Linked DNA regions of Saccharomyces cerevisiae S288C. The protein of the gene in region 1 purifies or fractionates together with the protein of each later gene. This does not show direct contact. Each region holds a gene or a part of one and is shown on either strand. Other genes may lie near its edges.

Region 1 (9,692 bases):
ATTTGATTATCAATATCATTAATTTGTGGAAGATATTCCTTGTTCTCTACACTTTCCAAAACTTGTACATTTTTTTCATGCAGCTTCTTATTTTCTTCAGTTTGGGTAACCAAATCCTCCTTTTTCTTTTCCAGATTATCGATTTCGTTTTGAACTTTGCCTTGTTTCAAATTAATCTGGTTAATCTTAAAGATCTGAGCATCCAACTGTTGAGATAAGTTACTTAAGTTCGTGGTCCAGTCATTGAACTCCTTTTGGACATTCGTTTTCTCATTGTTCAAATCATCGATTTCTGACTTAACGTTGGTTTGTTTGTCCAAGACCTCATTTTTCTCCTGCAACTTTTGGTTTTTCATATTTTCAGTGTCTTTTAATATCATTAGTTTCTTATTATTATGCTCGGCATTAACATCAATGATTTTTTTGACCAACCGGTTTTTACTAACTTCAATTTTCTCAGAAGTTTCTTCTCTCATGGCCTTCATTGAATTTTCAATTTCGTCAATCTGATTTTGTAAATCTTGTAGCTTTTCTTTGTATTCTTTATTTTTAGCATCATATTTATCCTTTTCCTTTGCTCGAAGATCAGCTAACCATGCTTGATGAATTTTTTCATCATAATTGATTTTATCATAAACTGCCTTTGATAGGTAACCATGTTCTTTTGTCTTTACAATTAATTCAGGATTTTCTGGAGTGGCCACTGGATTGGATGGAGCGGCGGTCTTACTTTTTTGGGTAGATGAAGAAGTAGGGCTTTTCCATAAAGCGAAAATTCCGGTTCTTTCCTTTCGAGAAGGTTCCTGAAAAGGGACCTTGGGAGCCTTGCTTGGATCGATTGGGCTTTCATCTTCTTCGGATTCCGGTTCCGAGGTTTCTGGAGTAGACGTTCTCTCAGCAGATTCCTCTGCAGACGATTGTTCGGTTTCCTCTTCTGCATCCCCTTCCGCTTCCACTTCCTTTTTTTCTTCCCCACTGGGAGGATTGACTTTTTTTACATCGGATTTTTCCTCCTTTTGTTCGTCTGTTGGCACGACACCTGACTTTGAACCGCCACTTTGATCTGTAGTGCGTGGTTCCAACACCCCATTCTCGGATGAGATTGGTTCCGCTACATTAATTTGAGCTGAATCAGCAGTGCCTTTGCCAATTGAAGTAGACTCACTCACTTTGTCTTCATGTTCTTCCTCCACGGAAGTTGCTTCATCAGCACTATTTTCGACAGCATTAGTAGTAGAAGTGCTGGTAGTAGAAGTACTGGTGGTAGTGGTTGTCGTAGTTGCAGTGTCAGCAGTTGCTTCAGTGGCCTCAGATGTGGTAGTAGAAGTAACGTCCCCTTCATCTGATGAAGACGATGACGATGACGATGACGATGACGATGACGATGATGATGTAGAAGTGGACGAAGAAGTAGTAGTGTCAGTGTCATCTTTTTCATCCTTAGTTAAGTCAGTAATTTTCTGGCACTTCTTCAAATATTTCAAATGTTTCTCCTTTAGTTCCAACTCAGTTAGTAACTGATATTGTCTTTCTTCATTTTGAGTTAGGTAAGTTGGAAATCTAATATCTTTGGCTCTCTTAGCATTTTTTGGTATGTTTTTGTACCCTAAATCCTTAGGTTGCTGTTTTGAATAGGCAGAAGTAGCACTTACGGTAGGAAACTTTCTGTTTTTTGCGTCTTCCCCATATGCCCGGTTGTTTTGCCTATTGGCGAGGGCATCTTGTCTAAATGGCGAGACCCACTCTTCCTTACCTTTTGGCTCATTGGACACAACCTTTTGCAAAAACTGATAAGGGCTTTCCTGCTGATGCGCTTGCTGATTTTGCGTATTTGCCGAAGATTGATTGATCAATTGCGTAAAGGGGTCGTCTTCTTGACGGTTGATATTGAATAGCATGTTTTGAATACGTAGTTGATTGACCTCTTTCTTTTAATTGCGTGCAGCTGCTCTCAGGTTTAAGATGTACGAGGGTCCACGGGGTAGCAAGCACAAGAACGATGATATATATGACAGAACGATGGATAAGAATGGTATGTTGTCTGCACTGTTCAGCATTCGACTACCCCTCTCCCGGTTCTTTTCTCCTCGTTTCAATTTAAAAAAGCAACTCGCTACCCGGCCGCACACCCCTTATTCCTGTTCAGCCGTTTAAGGTGAGAACCCTTTACTTCATAGCCTTTGTAGATCTTTCTATTGCTACCATTGAAGGGTCGGTGACGTGGAAATTTTGACATTTATCAGTGGCGTATTGGGAGGCAAGCAATTGAAAGAACTGTGATTTATTTCCGCTTGTTCGAAATTATTGATGTTTAGCACTTTGCAGTAGCGACAATACAATATATGTGCTTTTAGTGCTGGGATAGTTCGTAGCTCCATTTCGGGGCGCTTGTTACATTTATTGTATATGCGCGGATGTGGCACATGCTGTTGAGATCTCACTCCTTTGGTATCTCTTTCCTGCGCCGCATTGTGCCGGCAGAATGTCGCGCTTGTATTCTCATGAACTTTTCCTCTTTACGAACCCTTTGGCGGCATGCCGTTTAAAATCTGTTGAAGATTTCCTTTACGAACAATGAGCAATGTTTTGCACAGGCAGGTGGGAAGTAGGGCCTATCGCGCCTTGGATGCAGATATAAGTATAAATATAAATTATAATAATTGGCTGTATCAGTAAATCCTTCTTGCGATGGGAGGAAGCACGATAGAGTATGTTAAGCTTTTGAGAGGCTTCATATTCATTGGAATTTTAAATAACAATAAAGCAACAACAATAATAAATGCTATCAGCTGCAGATAATTTAGTGCGCATCATAAATGCTGTTTTTCTTATTATATCCATAGGTCTAATCAGCGGCCTGATAGGTACACAGACAAAGCATAGTTCTCGAGTGAACTTTTGTATGTTTGCCGCCGTTTATGGTCTGGTTACGGATTCATTATATGGGTTTTTGGCTAATTTCTGGACATCATTAACATACCCAGCAATTTTGCTTGTTTTGGATTTTTTAAATTTCATATTTACGTTTGTAGCAGCCACCGCTTTGGCTGTAGGTATAAGATGCCATTCGTGTAAAAACAAAACATATCTGGAACAGAATAAGATCATACAAGGCTCAAGCTCCAGATGTCATCAATCTCAGGCTGCTGTTGCGTTTTTTTACTTTTCCTGTTTTCTATTCCTCATCAAAGTGACTGTGGCCACGATGGGTATGATGCAAAATGGTGGATTTGGCTCTAATACCGGATTCAGCAGAAGGAGGGCAAGAAGACAAATGGGCATACCTACAATTTCCCAGGTTTAAGCCTACTGGACTGAAAAAAAGGCAATTCGCGTACAATTTTCGTTGATCGTTCTTTATATAACCTTTGCATTAAATAAATTTAACAAAAAAAGTTCTTTCTAAAATAATATTATGGTGATACATGAATGTGCTTTAGTTTTTTCGTAGGCTCATCCATGTATATATATAAATGATAAAAAACTAAGTTACGATATTGATAGCATACGTATTCGTGTTGGTAACTAAATGGAAAGATGGAATATGTTATTGGCGTTGTTATCCCCCATATATACAGGTTTCTAATATGATTAAAAAAAAATTTTCTCCCCTAGTTTATTGTGTTCATAGCTTTTCCAGACTTAACGGCCAATGTTCAAAAGCAAGGAATTTGGTGATCCCGAAGACTCGCTGTTACCACCACCAGAATGTTGACTTGGTAAATAGACAACGTTAGATGAGTTTGCTAATGTTTGAGCGATGTCCTTAGAAGCTTCTAATCTTCTAATCAATAACAGACCATCACCAACTTTAGCTAAGGCTTTTGAAATGAATTCAGCACTTTCTGCTTCACCTTCAGCTCTGATAACAGAAGCTTGTCTCTCTTGCTCTGCCTTTTCGACAAGGAATTTGGCTCTTTCGGCATCTTGCTGTGCAATCTGCTTCTGCTCAACTGCTTTCGTGAATTCGGGACCAAACGTCATATGAGTGATAGAGACATCTTCCAACTTAATACCGAATTCGTTGGCCCTCGTAGAAAGCTCTTTTCTGATTTTTTGAGAAATAATTTCTCTCTGAGTAATTAACTCAGCAGCATCAAATTGAGCTACTATAGACTTTAAAACCTCATTGCCGATAGATGGTAACACTCTTTCGTCGTAATCGAGACCCAAATTTTGGTATATTGCGGGTAGCTGTAAGACCTCTGGTCTATGTAAGACTCTCAAGGTCAATGACACCATTTGCAAATCCTTCGTACCAGTATTGGTAGCAATGCTCTTTGGTTTCGTCCTCACATCGTATATGATCGCCTTCTGTAGCCAAGGCACCAAGAAATGAGTGCCTTCACCCACAACCTGTTGCTTTACACCATTGATTCTGTCGAAAATAACACCACGAGAACCACCCTTCACATCATACATGGAGTACTGAATCCCGCTAGCAATTATACCAATGGGCAACGCCACCTTGGTGATGACATCGATAAGTTTGGCAGAATTAGACATTCTTTTCTAAAGTAAATTATTGATTTTGAATGTAAGTTTCGTACCGTTGATGGTTGGTTTACCGATTTATTTTTTTTCCTCTTCTTTCTGCTTAATATTATATACCTCAACCGTTGCATCCATGAGATCGTCAAACTCCCTTTCCCTGAAATTTATTGATGCGATACATTCGCGTTACCCGTATCATCATGAAGACGAGTTTATTCTCATCAGTGTTGATCTCTCATACTTGAATAACTCATTTGCAATGGTCTAAGACTCCAACTATGTAGTCATAGTCATTCACTGAAGTTTCTCTTTTCGAAATCCTGAACGGAAGCGGAATATATGTGGTATATATCGCATATTACTGCTTCACAGCATGCAGCGCAGACTGGCCGGGTTATGCTGCCACTTACTGGAGACAACATAAAATATACATAATCATCGCCTTTATACATAATATGCCAAACTTCTGGATTCTTGAGAATCGTAGGAGCTATACGTCTGATACATGTATGTCGAGGATCGTGAAGGAGTACAAAGTCATACTGAAAACATTGGCCAGTGATGACCCCATAGCGAACCCCTACCGGGGGATAATCGAGTCACTTAACCCGATTGACGAAACCGACTTGAGCAAGTGGGAAGCTATAATTTCTGGGCCGTCAGACACACCTTATGAAAATCATCAGTTTCGAATACTAATAGAAGTCCCTAGTTCCTACCCCATGAATCCACCAAAGATAAGTTTTATGCAGAACAATATTTTGCACTGCAATGTTAAATCAGCCACAGGAGAAATATGTCTGAACATCCTTAAACCAGAGGAGTGGACTCCTGTATGGGATTTGTTACACTGTGTTCATGCTGTTTGGAGACTCCTAAGGGAACCCGTTTGTGATTCTCCACTTGACGTAGACATTGGTAATATCATCCGCTGTGGCGATATGAGTGCCTATCAGGGGATTGTAAAGTACTTCCTAGCAGAAAGAGAGCGGATCAACAACCATTGATACCACGTAGGATGGATGTGTTCGAATGGCAAACAATGGGCCCTCACTTTTATCTGATGCAATTTCTACCTTACCCGGGCAGCGCCAATTTATGAATACAAATACTTTAACAAATTGCACTATTGATGTATTGACACATTTGTATATACATATACATATATTAATAAGGAGCACGAATTTTTGACAAGTAGTGCACGCAATATCTACATTAGTTAGCTTTTCCATTGACGCTGAATTTTATTTTGGCAGCCCAGTAGATCGTTGAGGAGCTTTTTTCAAACACTTTTTCTCTCTTAACTCCACATACTTACGTAAGAAAGTGATGACGAAAAAGAAAGCAGCTACTAATTATGCTGAAAGGCAAAATTTAGCCAGTGAAGATTCTTCAGGTGATTCGGTTCATTTTAAGGACTTTATTCCCTTACAAGAGTTACTGAAAGATAAAAATTATGTTCCATCGGTGGAAAATTTGGAGAAGATCTTATATAATGAAACCATGTTTAATGATCAGAAAATATGCTCTAACCTATTGCTTGAGGCTCTCATAATTACGTTGTTCACAACAATTTCAGGGAAGTCAGCTTTACGATTAATTCAGACTTCTTCTTTGAAGGAAAGAAAATCCTGGGCCCAGTCCTTTGAAAATAACAGTTCTAGCTATGCTTCCATAGTACTGAGTTGGAAAGATAATGATATATTACTCCTGAAATTCTTAAGGTTTTTATTAGCAAATAAAACGGCCCCTCTTCAAATTAATCGGTACAATCTTCCAGAATACAAACTCCCGTTGAGCTTTTTAATTGTTTCAAAAATTACTATTCCGTCCATATTACTCAATGAAACGTATAATTTGTTAAAGGACTATTTGTATTCGATAACTGGCCGTATAGAGAGTTTGATAAGCTGCAGCTCCACATTTGATAAGCCAGCACTTGTCGTTAGAAAAATTTTAAAAGATTACAATAGAATGATAGAATGCCGAAATTTTTATTTCTGGTATTCCTTTAATGCTGAGAACAGAGTAAATCTTACTTTTAGTGATAACATTAGCCTGTTAATGGAAAATGATGAAGGCAATGCTGGAAGTGGCCTTGACGATAGCCGTTTTGATCATCAAAAACAACCGAGAGAGGCGATAATGGGCCGAACAATAAATGACCAGGAACAAATATATTCATTCGAACTGAACCAAGATGGAACGCTTGAAATACCCAACGTTATGGAGCATTCTTTACTAAGACACGAGCTTCTTTTTAAAATATTAAATCTCACTACGGTATTGACGCCATTATTGGAACTACAATTTTCTACGCTATGTGGCTTAGTAGATCCATTAATGCAGCCTACTCCCAATGATAAGCATATTATATCGATAGACTTTCTTTTTCAGCTTTTTTTGGGATTAATGTCTCAGTCGATCAAGACTTCTCAAGAACACAACGACCATTATGACTGGAAATTTTATATGTGTTTTAACATGCAAAAAATTATTGATGCTACCATGTTGAGGCTCAACTGCTTTGATTTTGATATATTAAACTCGGTAAACAATACAGATAATGCAGTTCATTGGAAGACGCAACTTCACAGATGGCTACCGCATGGCCTGAATACACAAGACTTGGAATTACTCTATATGATTGATATACTGGCGGTATATACCATCTACAAGTTGTATGAAAAAATACCTATACAACTAAACCCATTTTTATTTTCATTAATATCCTTATGGAAAAACCTCTCCTGTGTTATACTTTTAGCCTTAGAAATTGATAGAATTGAAGAGGAGAATGGCACTTACGAAACGCCGCTTATGGTTCGCGCCACAATTCGTGGAGCCGCAGCATTGAGGTCTGTAATAGCTACCGTTCTCAATGGATTAGTGAAAAATAATGATCATGATTTCAAGCACGAGTCTTTAAACACATTCATGTCGCCCTATGGAAGAAAATTGTGTCATGGTGCTTTATATGCCGATTTAAGGTCACATACTGCATCTCTACTTGCGCTTGGAGCAAGCATCGAAGATGTAACAGATTTATTTGCCGATTTACAGTCAGGTGATAGATTTGATGAGGATATTAGATATATGTTTGATTATGAATGTGAAGATTATGATGAATCTTTCTCTGAAAGCGATCATGGAGGATTGGATGAAAGCGTTGTTAACCCAACAGAAAAAATAGCATCTGGTAGTAATAATGTTTTCTTTCGGAGACGGTGCAATTGCATCTTCAATGATGATAAGTTGGTGGCAGAGGATGGTGCAAATGAAGCCTTTGGGTCAACAAATAGCGAAAACGTTGAAGGCGCAATGCATAATAATAGGAATGCGGTACATAACGCGACTACAGCCACTTCTGATCACGTCGTTACGTCACCTAACCCACTTTCCGTTAGATCAAGAAGTACTTTTGAATTTGACTATAGTGGGGAAGATTGGAGGGACGTTCCCAGAGATTTCAATATGTACTATTCGCCATCTTATTCATTCATCCATGAGCCTAAGTTAGATGTCATATTTAGTTTGACTCTACGTGGCGCAACAGAAAAGTTGAATAAGGAGGAATCCATATTGTTAGTGCGTTCAGTTGCATCGTGTGTAAGGAACGAGCAGGACCAAATGATTTTAGCAGACCTGGAGTCTAATTTTTCCGCAAGTATAAACGGCGATGTAGAAGGTGAAGGAAATACCAAAATGTCCAAGATAGATAATGAAGATCTCAGAAGAACCACGCCGGATGATATTTATGAAATATGGTCTGAAGAATCAGCATTTGAAAGGATGCTAAACGTGAATCACGACGTTGCGTGGAGATTAATGGATGAAATGTTAATGTGCACCGGTTATAGGAGAATATTGATATGGTTCCTTACGCATTTGGAGTTAAAACATTCGTTGATATATTACGTTTTTGAACTAATAATGGGGTTACGTGGAAAACCGTTTTCCGGAGAAGCCAGTGATCAAGATAAAAAGGATGATATGATATATGAGATCTTGAAGAAAAAGCAGAAGAATGAAGATGCTTCAGGACTTCCCTTTTCAAGGCAAGGACCTATCGTATTATCTGATATTGAGACTAAAATGTTACTGCAGGAGTTTTTTATGAATGCTGCTATTTTTTTGTCATCAAAAAATAACGAAGAAGAGAATGAAGACGGCGAGAAAATCTCCTTGTACTCCCTTGGTTTGGTTAGGTTGATCTGTTACATGGTGCAGACACTCATCGCGAACGACAAGTTTTTTTTTACCAAATCAGAATGCACTTTTGAGCTTCAAACTTTACTGATGACATGGATTGGCATCCTTCCTGAAGCCAAAGATTTATTCTTTAAGATCAAGACAAGGCTCGCCATGGAAGAAGAGGATAGTGCCGATACTATGCAGCATGAGGGCAGGAAGAACTCTGACATAGAGAAGAAGCTAAACGCTAAGCCAGCTTCTGAACTGAATCTGAAATTGTTAAACCTGTTTCCCTCAAAGCCTGCAAACAAAGACGATAGTTCCCCTATTAACACGTTGCGTAGTTTTATCGCTGATTACTCCTTCGACACCCAGGTGAACCCTCCAGGAAGAAGGGTGGTGTTCTACGATGGTAAGATTTTGCCATTGCCCAAAGCCGATAAGCCTATCCCACTTCATGAATATATAACACTCGCAGAGCTCGATGTTGGAGACAGTGAGTGAGCAGTGAATTGCTCATGTTTTCTCTGCATCCTCATTTAATGACAATTAGCCATGTAATAACATCTTGAGGCAGTTAAATATTCGTTACCCTGCAGGTGGCAAAAAATTTATAGAATAAAAGCATAAAAAGATGGATATCTATGTAATAAGGAAACATTGGCAGAGCGAAGAGAACAGACTGCTTTCTATAAAAAGTTTTCGATCAGTCTCTATTTTAATAATTGATTATTGGATATAGTTAGTAGTGTTAAACATGGGTTCCAGAAGATACGATTCCAGGACAACAATTTTCTCCCCTGAGGGACGTCTATATCAGGTTGAATACGCGCTAGAATCCATTTCACATGCAGGTACCGCAATTGGGATTATGGCATCTGATGGGATTGTTCTTGCAGCAGAACGCAAAGTCACAAGTACTTTACTAGAACAAGACACCTCTACCGAAAAACTTTATAAGTTAAACGATAAAATTGCGGTTGCCGTTGCTGGACTGACTGCAG
Region 2 (3,272 bases), on another chromosome or scaffold:
GTCAGGACGGTAGAGAAATGGAACGACAATGTCAACAGGCAAAGTTGGGATCTGGAACAGATCATGAGTCAACATGGGTTTTAATGTGGTAAACAAGATGGCCCTTACGGGGCTCTTAGTGGGAGAAAGATTTTTAATAGAGCATAATTAACGGATACATAATATATTATAAATTTAAATAATCAAGGATACCTAATAATAATAACAATCAACTGAACACAACATTAAAAATGGTATTTGTTATTGTATGTTAAGCCCTAAGTGATTGTGCCGTTATAACTTCCATTCGGGTGATACCTGCAATATGAGGAAGAAAAAAGATAAATTTTTTCTTCTTAAAGTATAAAAGGCGGACATATTTGATTTAAATGCAGAAGTTTTCTCTCAGTGGTTTATGTTTTACATATGATAGAAAAAATGAAGCAATAGCAAAGTATCGTAGTGCGAACCGGTCTCGTAACTTTGATAAGTTTATCAAAGGCGTTAACATTTTGTTTCGTAATAGTACCTTAACACATGACGAAGATGAAAATTAAACATGAATTCAAGGAAAAATGGTAAATGACGAGAAAAAAGCTGTGCACCAGTCTGAACATGGATGCCACAAGTACTCAGGTGTCCTATGAAGCATTAAGTATACCCAAATTTCTGATCCATTTTCCTTTATTTTCTTTTTTTTTTTTCTCTCACATCTGTGACTGTATTATGAGCAAACTGTTTACGTTGAACGGAATCGATATGTAAATTAAATCTTTTGAAATATGTAGGACAGTGCTTGTATAGGTCTGTTAAGTAGATTATAGAATGTACGCCTTTTTTCTGGGCGTGAAATAGATCAGAAATCCTGTTAGGTTGCCACTGGTCCATTTCAGTGTTGCTCATCCAATCAATCATGTATTTACATGCCTGGAGTGGCCTATTCTATGTATTAACAGCCTTTGCAAGACGCGACATTGTTCTTTCCGATATGGCTCGGAGTAGACTAAATATGCTACTTATAGTTTTTCTTGCGTATACCATTGTCTTATAGTTTTTGCACACATTAATGTTTAAAATTGAAACTACGAAGCAAAACAATAAAAAAAACAAACAAAACTTAAAAATAAACAAAAGACGCTCGAAACCAAGTGCATTTATTGAATGTTTTTGGGAATGCAAGTAGCAATACTATTGTAAAAGTACTACTATTTCCCTGTATCATACGCTTTTACTACTATTCCTCACATAAAGCGAGATGCTTACAGAATGCATAAGAGAGAGAAGAAAACCCTATTACGCCCACTTGTCTATATTAGATTACTGTCCCTATTTATATCATCATTGCAAAACGTGAGCACCTCATTAGACGTAGATTCTTGCATAAGTATTACTAGCAGGAGAGGAAAAACTCCACCCACACACCTCAACATGCTGAGAATTTTGCTGCGAGCAGCAAGAGGCAAAATCCAAATTTAAAGTAATTTACGCATAGAAGACATTGTAAAGGGATTGCAAAGACGTAGAGTACGCAAGTTAGAAACCGTTCATCTTTTAAAACTCCCAAGTTTTGACAAATTTGCGAGTGTGTGTGTTTCTGCTGATCTTGACGAGATTAAACTTTGTTCCTGAAGCAACAACGACAGCAACTGAACATCCTCTGAATAAGTTAATATGTTTTCCGCTCAAAAGCCAATATATGGCAATGGAGCAGGCGTGAACATGGGTGGTGGTGGTCCTTCAACTAATAATCCAGGATCTATGTCCATGCCTGGGGTTCCAACTTCAATGGGTCCAGGCATGAATCAACAAATTCCAAGTGGAGGCCCCATGCTAATGGGCAATACTCCGAATAATAATAATAGCAATGAAAATGGCGAGAACAACGGCAATAACGGCAATAACGGCGGTAACGATGCTAACGCAACTCGAAACAATCCCAACATGGTCAATAATAGAGGCGCAGTGCATGCTCTAGATGATCCCAATGTATACCACTGGATTTGTCAATTGACCTACGGCCCTCAAAAGGAACAAGCACTGCTTGAATTAGGTCGCAAAAGAGAACAGTTTGATGACCTTGCCGTTGTGCTTTGGTCTTCCTTTGGTGTAATGACCTCATTGCTGAACGAAATCATTTCCGTATATCCCATGCTGCAACCTCAGATGCTCTCTAACAATCTATCAAATCGTGTATGCAACGCTCTAGTTCTTCTACAGTGTGTTGCATCTCACCCAGAGACAAAACATCTCTTTTTACAGGCCCATATTCCTCTCTTTCTTTTCCCCTTCCTAAATACTACCTCCAGGCAAAGAACTTTTGAGTACTTGAGATTGACTTCATTAGGTGTGATAGGCGCATTGGTCAAAAATGACTCACAAGACGTAATAACGTTTTTGCTAAGAACCGATATCGTGCCGTTATGCCTAAGGATCATGGAATCTTCTTCTGAGCTTTCCAAGACAGTCGCCATTTTCATTTTACAGAAAATCCTACTAGATGACGTTGGATTGCAATACATCTGTGCCACCTTGGAAAGGTTCTACGCCGTAACTAATGTCTTAAAAGATATGGTTGAGCACTTGACCGTGAGCACACCACCGGGACGACTACTGAAACATATCATTAGATGCTACTTAAGATTAAGCGACGATCTCGAAGCACGCAGGCTATTGAAAATAGTCTTACCTGCCAAACTGAGAGATAACACTTTTACGGAAGTACTAAGAGACGACGTCGGGTCCAAGAGATGTCTGGCACAATTGCTACTGACATTAAACGAAGAAACCTCATGATGCATCCCCATAGATATATTACTGTTTTTCTCTTTCTATTTTCCTGTATTGTTTTAACCTTGCCTTTTTGTTTTAGTTTCACTTCCTCACCTCTCCTAATTTTGTATAGTTATATTTATATGCATGAAATGTATAAAGTCCACTCATATTTCAGAATGGTTTAAGTTAAGTGCCAGAAGGTTCTTCTGTACTATTACTATTACCCATTTTTCATCCTATCACCCGGAATGTACCCCTTGTGTCATTCACTACGACGCCACGAACCACGATTCTATTTTTTTCGAAATCTAAAGGTTTCGTCAAGATCAATGAAATATACATAGGCGTTTTTTTGGATACGAGTTGCATTGTTGAGAACACAATTCTTTACAAATAAGTGCAAGGGAGGAATTGTGTGTGCTCATTACCAACGTACTTCTTCAGTTATTCTGCTAAACCCGTTTTTTTGTTCTTAGCTTCATCCAGGTGAGCCCGCAAACATTACAGAACGACGTATAATA
Region 3 (4,952 bases), on another chromosome or scaffold:
CCTCTGAATGCGTATCGGCCAGTGCAGGCTCTGGCACCGCAAGGATTGGCTTCTTGATGGTATCAGTGTCCGCACTAGTACTCATTTTTGCAATCTGGTATGCTTTCTTGCGTTTGATGATAAGCTGTCGCCGTAACGTAAATCATTCATCCTTTCCTATGATTTTTTAAGTCAATTTTTTTTTCTTTTTCGGGAAATTAATTCTGTTTTTGGCATTAATAACAACAAGAAGAATTAAGGATTCGTTATAGAATACAAGATTCTTGGTTTGGTTAAATAATTTTGGCTCTCTTAAATATTATAAAAAGATACTTAAGTAAGAAAGAAACAGGACGAAAAAGATACGCAAAAGAGAGAGAGAGAGAGAGAGAAAAAAAAGATGAGAAAAAAAAGTATAACGTGAAGGCTTTATGGGAAGTGCGGTGAGATTGGGATCGTTTCAATTTTATAATGAGGTAGTGTACAGAGAGGAGGGAGGGAGTGGGATGAAAGTGTGCGGTTTATACTTTCTTACTGCCTGTGTTTGTCTTCATAAATTCAAATCTTGCTAACAATGGTATATGGTCACTGGGGAATTTGTCGTTGGGGAACCCGATAAACTTACTCACGTATTCAGGGTCCACTTCACCCAATAGCCCACGCACCCTTAGAGCATGTGTAGAAAACCATATATAGTCGATAACATCTGTGAATGACGGTGTGAAATTGGTGAATGGTAGTTCTCCGATACAATTATAACTTGATTTGAGAGCCAAGTTATGTGAGAAATTTTTCTCCGACATGTAACCGAAATCTCTACCATTTCCCTCTTGATGTATTTGGACACGGCCTGTATTTATCAATTCGTATACGGCGGAGTTGATGTATGAATTGAAGTCACCACAAATGAGCACAGGAAATTTCTTAATGTCCTGTCTAAAATTGTGCGATGTCTCCTCCTTTAGCAGCGTTTCCAGATGATCTAACAGGACACCTACTTGGAATGTCTTGACATCATTAAATTTTGGATCCCAGTGCAAATGCGTGGTGACCGCCCATATGGTGTCGCCACTAGGAATGTGTTGTAGCTTTAAGAACAGTGCAACGTTGTCTTTGTTCATTGCACGGTTTAAATAATCTTCAGTTCTTTGGAACTTCTTGTGTTTCATCCAAGCACCGCTGAAATCCATGGCGTCTTTGGTGATCAACTTGAATTGGTCCCTTTTGAAAAAAATGCAACACCCGTCCACTTTCTTGGAGTCCTTGGAATGCATGGTCTTGGCTCTTGCCTTTGCATGGAAGATGCCTGTATAACCGTGCTTGTCCAATAGGGGCACCCAATACTCTTCAAAAGTCTTAGACTCCACTTCTTGTAAACACAACAGATCACTGTCGTACGAGAGAATCTGCTCCTTTAATTTATTGCGCCTGTAATCCCAACTTAACGCCCACGACGGTGTGTAACGGTACATTTTTGGGGTGGCATAGTGTTGACATAAGGTGTTGTAGGATAAGACGGTGAACGTCCTCTTGGCTAAATCGGTGGCCAGATGCTCAGTGGATTGCTGCAAAGAATCGTACTCCCTCTGTGGTTCCCCATCGGTATTGATTTCGATGAACCTACGTTCATGCGGTAAGGGAATCTCTGGTCTGTTGTCCCTTAGGTAGAAAATCAATCCCGTGACAGATTTTTCTGTAAGGATCTTTAAAAACTGTTTTTCTAAGGGGTTTCCTTCTACACCAAGAAACTGAAGGTTACACAGGTTCCCAAACTCCCATGGTAATGTGGTGACCATGTTATCAAAAAAGTAGAAGTATTTCAATTGGAAACATGAGCCTAGTTCCGCTGGTAGAGATGTTAACCTATTATGCGACAGGTCCAAAACGCGTAGGTTGCTTAGGTTCTTGATCTCCGCTGGCAGTTCCGTGAGGCTATTGCCATTCAAATATAGTCTCGTTAGAAAATCGTACTTGAAGATGTTGGCGCTGATATTGAAGATTTGCAAGTTGGACAAATCTAGCGCGTGCCATAATTGGTCGTCGTATTTCGAGTCCTTGGGCATGACCATTCTGTTTTCAATGTCGTCATCTTCGTCGATGCTGTACTGAGACAGTTTCTTGTGTTGTAAGAGCGCCTGGTTGGCTTCGTCCTTGCCATTAGCAAACAGCTCTATCTTGGGAGTCAATGGTGTAGAAACTGCACTGTTAGTTGCCGTGCCTGAGGGAGTGCTATCTCCCGTAGGTTGTTGTTTCTTTGCTGTCTTGCTGTCGGTGAGAGTGTCGGCCATTTCCATCAAGGCTTGCTTTGTGCAGTCTACCAGTGATTTGGAGGCTTCTGCAATGTGAGATTGCTGGAAATCGGTGGGCTGCAAAGCTGGTGGTGCAGCCTGAGGTCCGGGGCCAAATGGGCCCGGGACCTGCTGCTGTGCCTGTTGCTGCGCTTGTTGCTGAGCTTGCTGAGCCTGTTGTGTAGCCAAATACTTCTTCATAGCGTTTTGTCTAGCATAAATGTTGGGTTGCCCCAGAGATTGTGCGGACACTGCAGCCAGATGCAATTGAAGCTTCCAGATCGGATTGTTTAGTAAAGAAGGGTCATCCAAGTGCGGGTGTAATAAAGGGTTACTGGCGTTCACATTGATGTTCACAGGCGTACCAACGGTAGGAACCATCCCTATAGAATTTACTGCGGCTGTGGAGGCATTCATCATCACCCCGCTTCCACCGCCGTTGTTGTTGTTGTTGTTGTTGTTGTTATTGTTGTTATTGTTGTTATCCATGTTCATATTGAGCATGTTCGCGTTCCCATTAGCCAATTGGTCGAGCAACTGGCGCGAGTTGTTGTTGCTGGAAGTGTGTACATCGCTGTTGTTCATGAGTCCCGGTGGAGGTATCCCGGTGAGCTGGTTCATGTGTAGCTGCTGCTGTAGAGCGTTTGGTGTACCCTTTCCTAGTAGCCCGGCATGCTGCTGTTGCTGCTGTTGCTGTTGCTGCTGCGGGCCCACATTAGGGTAGCCTAGTAAAGAAGGGTCGTTCATTAGCGGTAGTTTGCAGGGATAACGTCAGTCGGAGTTCCCTTGCTGGTGTCCCTTATGCTGTGCCCTTGTGCTTGAGAACCTTCTCTAAGGTGGAAACTTTTTCAAATTTTTTCGTTGTTGGCCCGTTTTTCGCAAGTACGGGCGATAACAAAAGGCCTAAACGGCTACTTTACCTTTGAGATCTACCACGATGAGAATTAATGCTGAATGGACATCTATGTATATGATAGTGGGTATATAGTTACTTATCAGTGCTAGAGCACGATCCACGTGGTGGCACATCCGCCAAACACGCGAGGTTTTCCAGAGTATTGGCCCACGAGCTGCAGTCCAGGCTGGGAGCCCTTTTGCGGGCCGCAGTTGCCATGCTCTCCCCAGCCCCAGCAGTATACATTGTAACAGTGAGACTTGCCTTCTTGATTAGCAGTAGTTAGAATACCGTGCTCACTCCCGGTTGCAACACCGACAATAGGGAAGTCTAGGCGCTCTTGCGGGAAGAGTTGGGAATGTGTGCCCCTACCAAACGACTCTACCGTATTGAGGCGCGCATTCCACAGGTGGATCGAGGTCCACATGCACAGTACCACTAGATTGTGTCTTTTTTGCTGTTGTTTGAGCTCGAACCCAGTGGGCAGGCGACCGGATGCGTGCACTATGCGGCCGCCCTCGTCCACTATGACCATGAAGTCCTTGCCCATGGCCACGTAGTCTACGGCCACAGACCCGGTATCGTACACCAATACGGGCTCTTTCAGTGATCGGGATTTGGGCTCTTGCAATTGACACTTTGTGTTGCTGCCCCAGCCGTATACTCGGGTGCCTTGCACCACCACAAAGTTCTGGAAACATCCGTATACTGCGATGCGCTCATCGTTGGAATTCAATGGCACATGTTGCTGAGTGAACTCGTAGCAACCGCCTCCTCTCTGCCATACACGGCCATCAGCATCCACAATAACTGTCGTGTCCCAGCCGCACGCCACATCCACCACGGGTGCCGGTACTTCCACGGGCCTCCAGTCATGCACCTGCCGCAGTGCTTGCGCACTATCCAGTTCTCCCCGTCTGTTATCTCCACATCCTACCAGATTCCCGTCATTTGTCAGCATCACGCTGTGGTTCCCACCGCACGCTATCTTCCTGACTATTGCTCCATCATCTCCTGGCACAGACCTCTGTGGGGTATCCATATCCTCATCGTGCCCCAGTCCCAGTTGCCTTTGCCCATTAGACCCAAACGCATACACACAACTCATCGATACAAGCCTGTTATAGCCTTTAATGATCACATTCCATCACTTGCGCTTTGGATCTGCCTGCATTATCAAGGCTCAAACGGCTGCGTTACCCCCGTCGCCGCGAAATTTTTCATAATTTTTCACTTTGTAGGATTAAAAGAGATCATGAGCCCATCTCGCAATGCAACACGTAACTTAAATCAGTACTGGCGTGTGCTATAGTGCTCTATATTCGAGTTTGTTGCTACTGGTGGACACCCGACTATCTACAGTAAGGAACGTAAACAAGAAAAAGAGAGAAAATACGCTATAGTTGAAAACATGAGTGGTTCGCATTCAAATGATGAGGATGACGTAGTGCAAGTGCCCGAGACGTCCTCTCCCACCAAGGTAGCATCGTCGTCTCCCTTAAAGCCTACTTCGCCAACAGTTCCGGATGCAAGTGTGGCGTCTTTGAGAAGCAGGTTTACTTTCAAGCCTTCAGATCCCAGCGAAGGAGCTCATACTTCGAAGCCGCTCCCATCTGGGAGTCCTGAGGTAGCACTGGTTAACCTTGCGAGAGAGTTCCCCGATTTCTCTCAAACTCTGGTGCAGGCTGTTTTCAAATCTAACTCTTTTAACTTACAGTCTGCCAGGGAACGTCTTACAAGATTGAGGCAGCAAAGACAAAATTGGACATGGAACAAGAACGCATCTCCCA

The links. Proteins that work in one complex are often made in the same cells at the same time.
Region 2: the proteins of CAF130 (region 1) and CAF40 purify together in Saccharomyces cerevisiae (affinity purification with mass spectrometry; 8 studies listed by BioGRID, with this or other methods). This does not show direct contact.
Region 3: the proteins of CAF130 (region 1) and CCR4 purify together in Saccharomyces cerevisiae (affinity purification with mass spectrometry; 6 studies listed by BioGRID, with this or other methods). This does not show direct contact.

The regions. Positions count from the first base shown.
Region 1 is NC_001139.9:751,947-761,638, forward strand, and holds CAF130 (CCR4-NOT core subunit CAF130), read left to right. Parts: upstream 1-5,823; coding exon 5,824-9,192; downstream 9,193-9,692. Other genes in the region: YGR130C (uncharacterized protein), read right to left, coding at 1-1,898; FHN1 (Fhn1p), read left to right, coding at 2,780-3,304; prohibitin subunit PHB1, read right to left, coding at 3,643-4,506; PEX4 (E2 ubiquitin-protein ligase peroxin 4), read left to right, coding at 4,950-5,501; PRE9 (proteasome core particle subunit alpha 3), read left to right, coding at 9,446-9,692. UniProt on the Saccharomyces cerevisiae protein: Acts as a component of the CCR4-NOT core complex, which in the nucleus seems to be a general transcription factor, and in the cytoplasm the major mRNA deadenylase involved in mRNA turnover.
Region 2 is NC_001146.8:88,653-91,924, forward strand, and holds CAF40 (CCR4-NOT core subunit CAF40), read left to right. Parts: upstream 1-1,650; coding exon 1,651-2,772; downstream 2,773-3,272. Other genes in the region: PCL1 (Pcl1p), read left to right, coding at 1-84. UniProt on the Saccharomyces cerevisiae protein: Acts as a component of the CCR4-NOT core complex, which in the nucleus seems to be a general transcription factor, and in the cytoplasm the major mRNA deadenylase involved in mRNA turnover.
Region 3 is NC_001133.9:110,346-115,297, forward strand, and holds CCR4 (CCR4-NOT core exoribonuclease subunit CCR4), read right to left. Parts: upstream 3,015-4,952; coding exon 501-3,014; downstream 1-500. Other genes in the region: nucleoside transmembrane transporter FUN26, read right to left, coding at 1-85; ATS1 (Ats1p), read right to left, coding at 3,269-4,270; DNA-dependent ATPase FUN30, read left to right, coding at 4,574-4,952. UniProt on the Saccharomyces cerevisiae protein: Acts as a catalytic component of the CCR4-NOT core complex, which in the nucleus seems to be a general transcription factor, and in the cytoplasm the major mRNA deadenylase involved in mRNA turnover.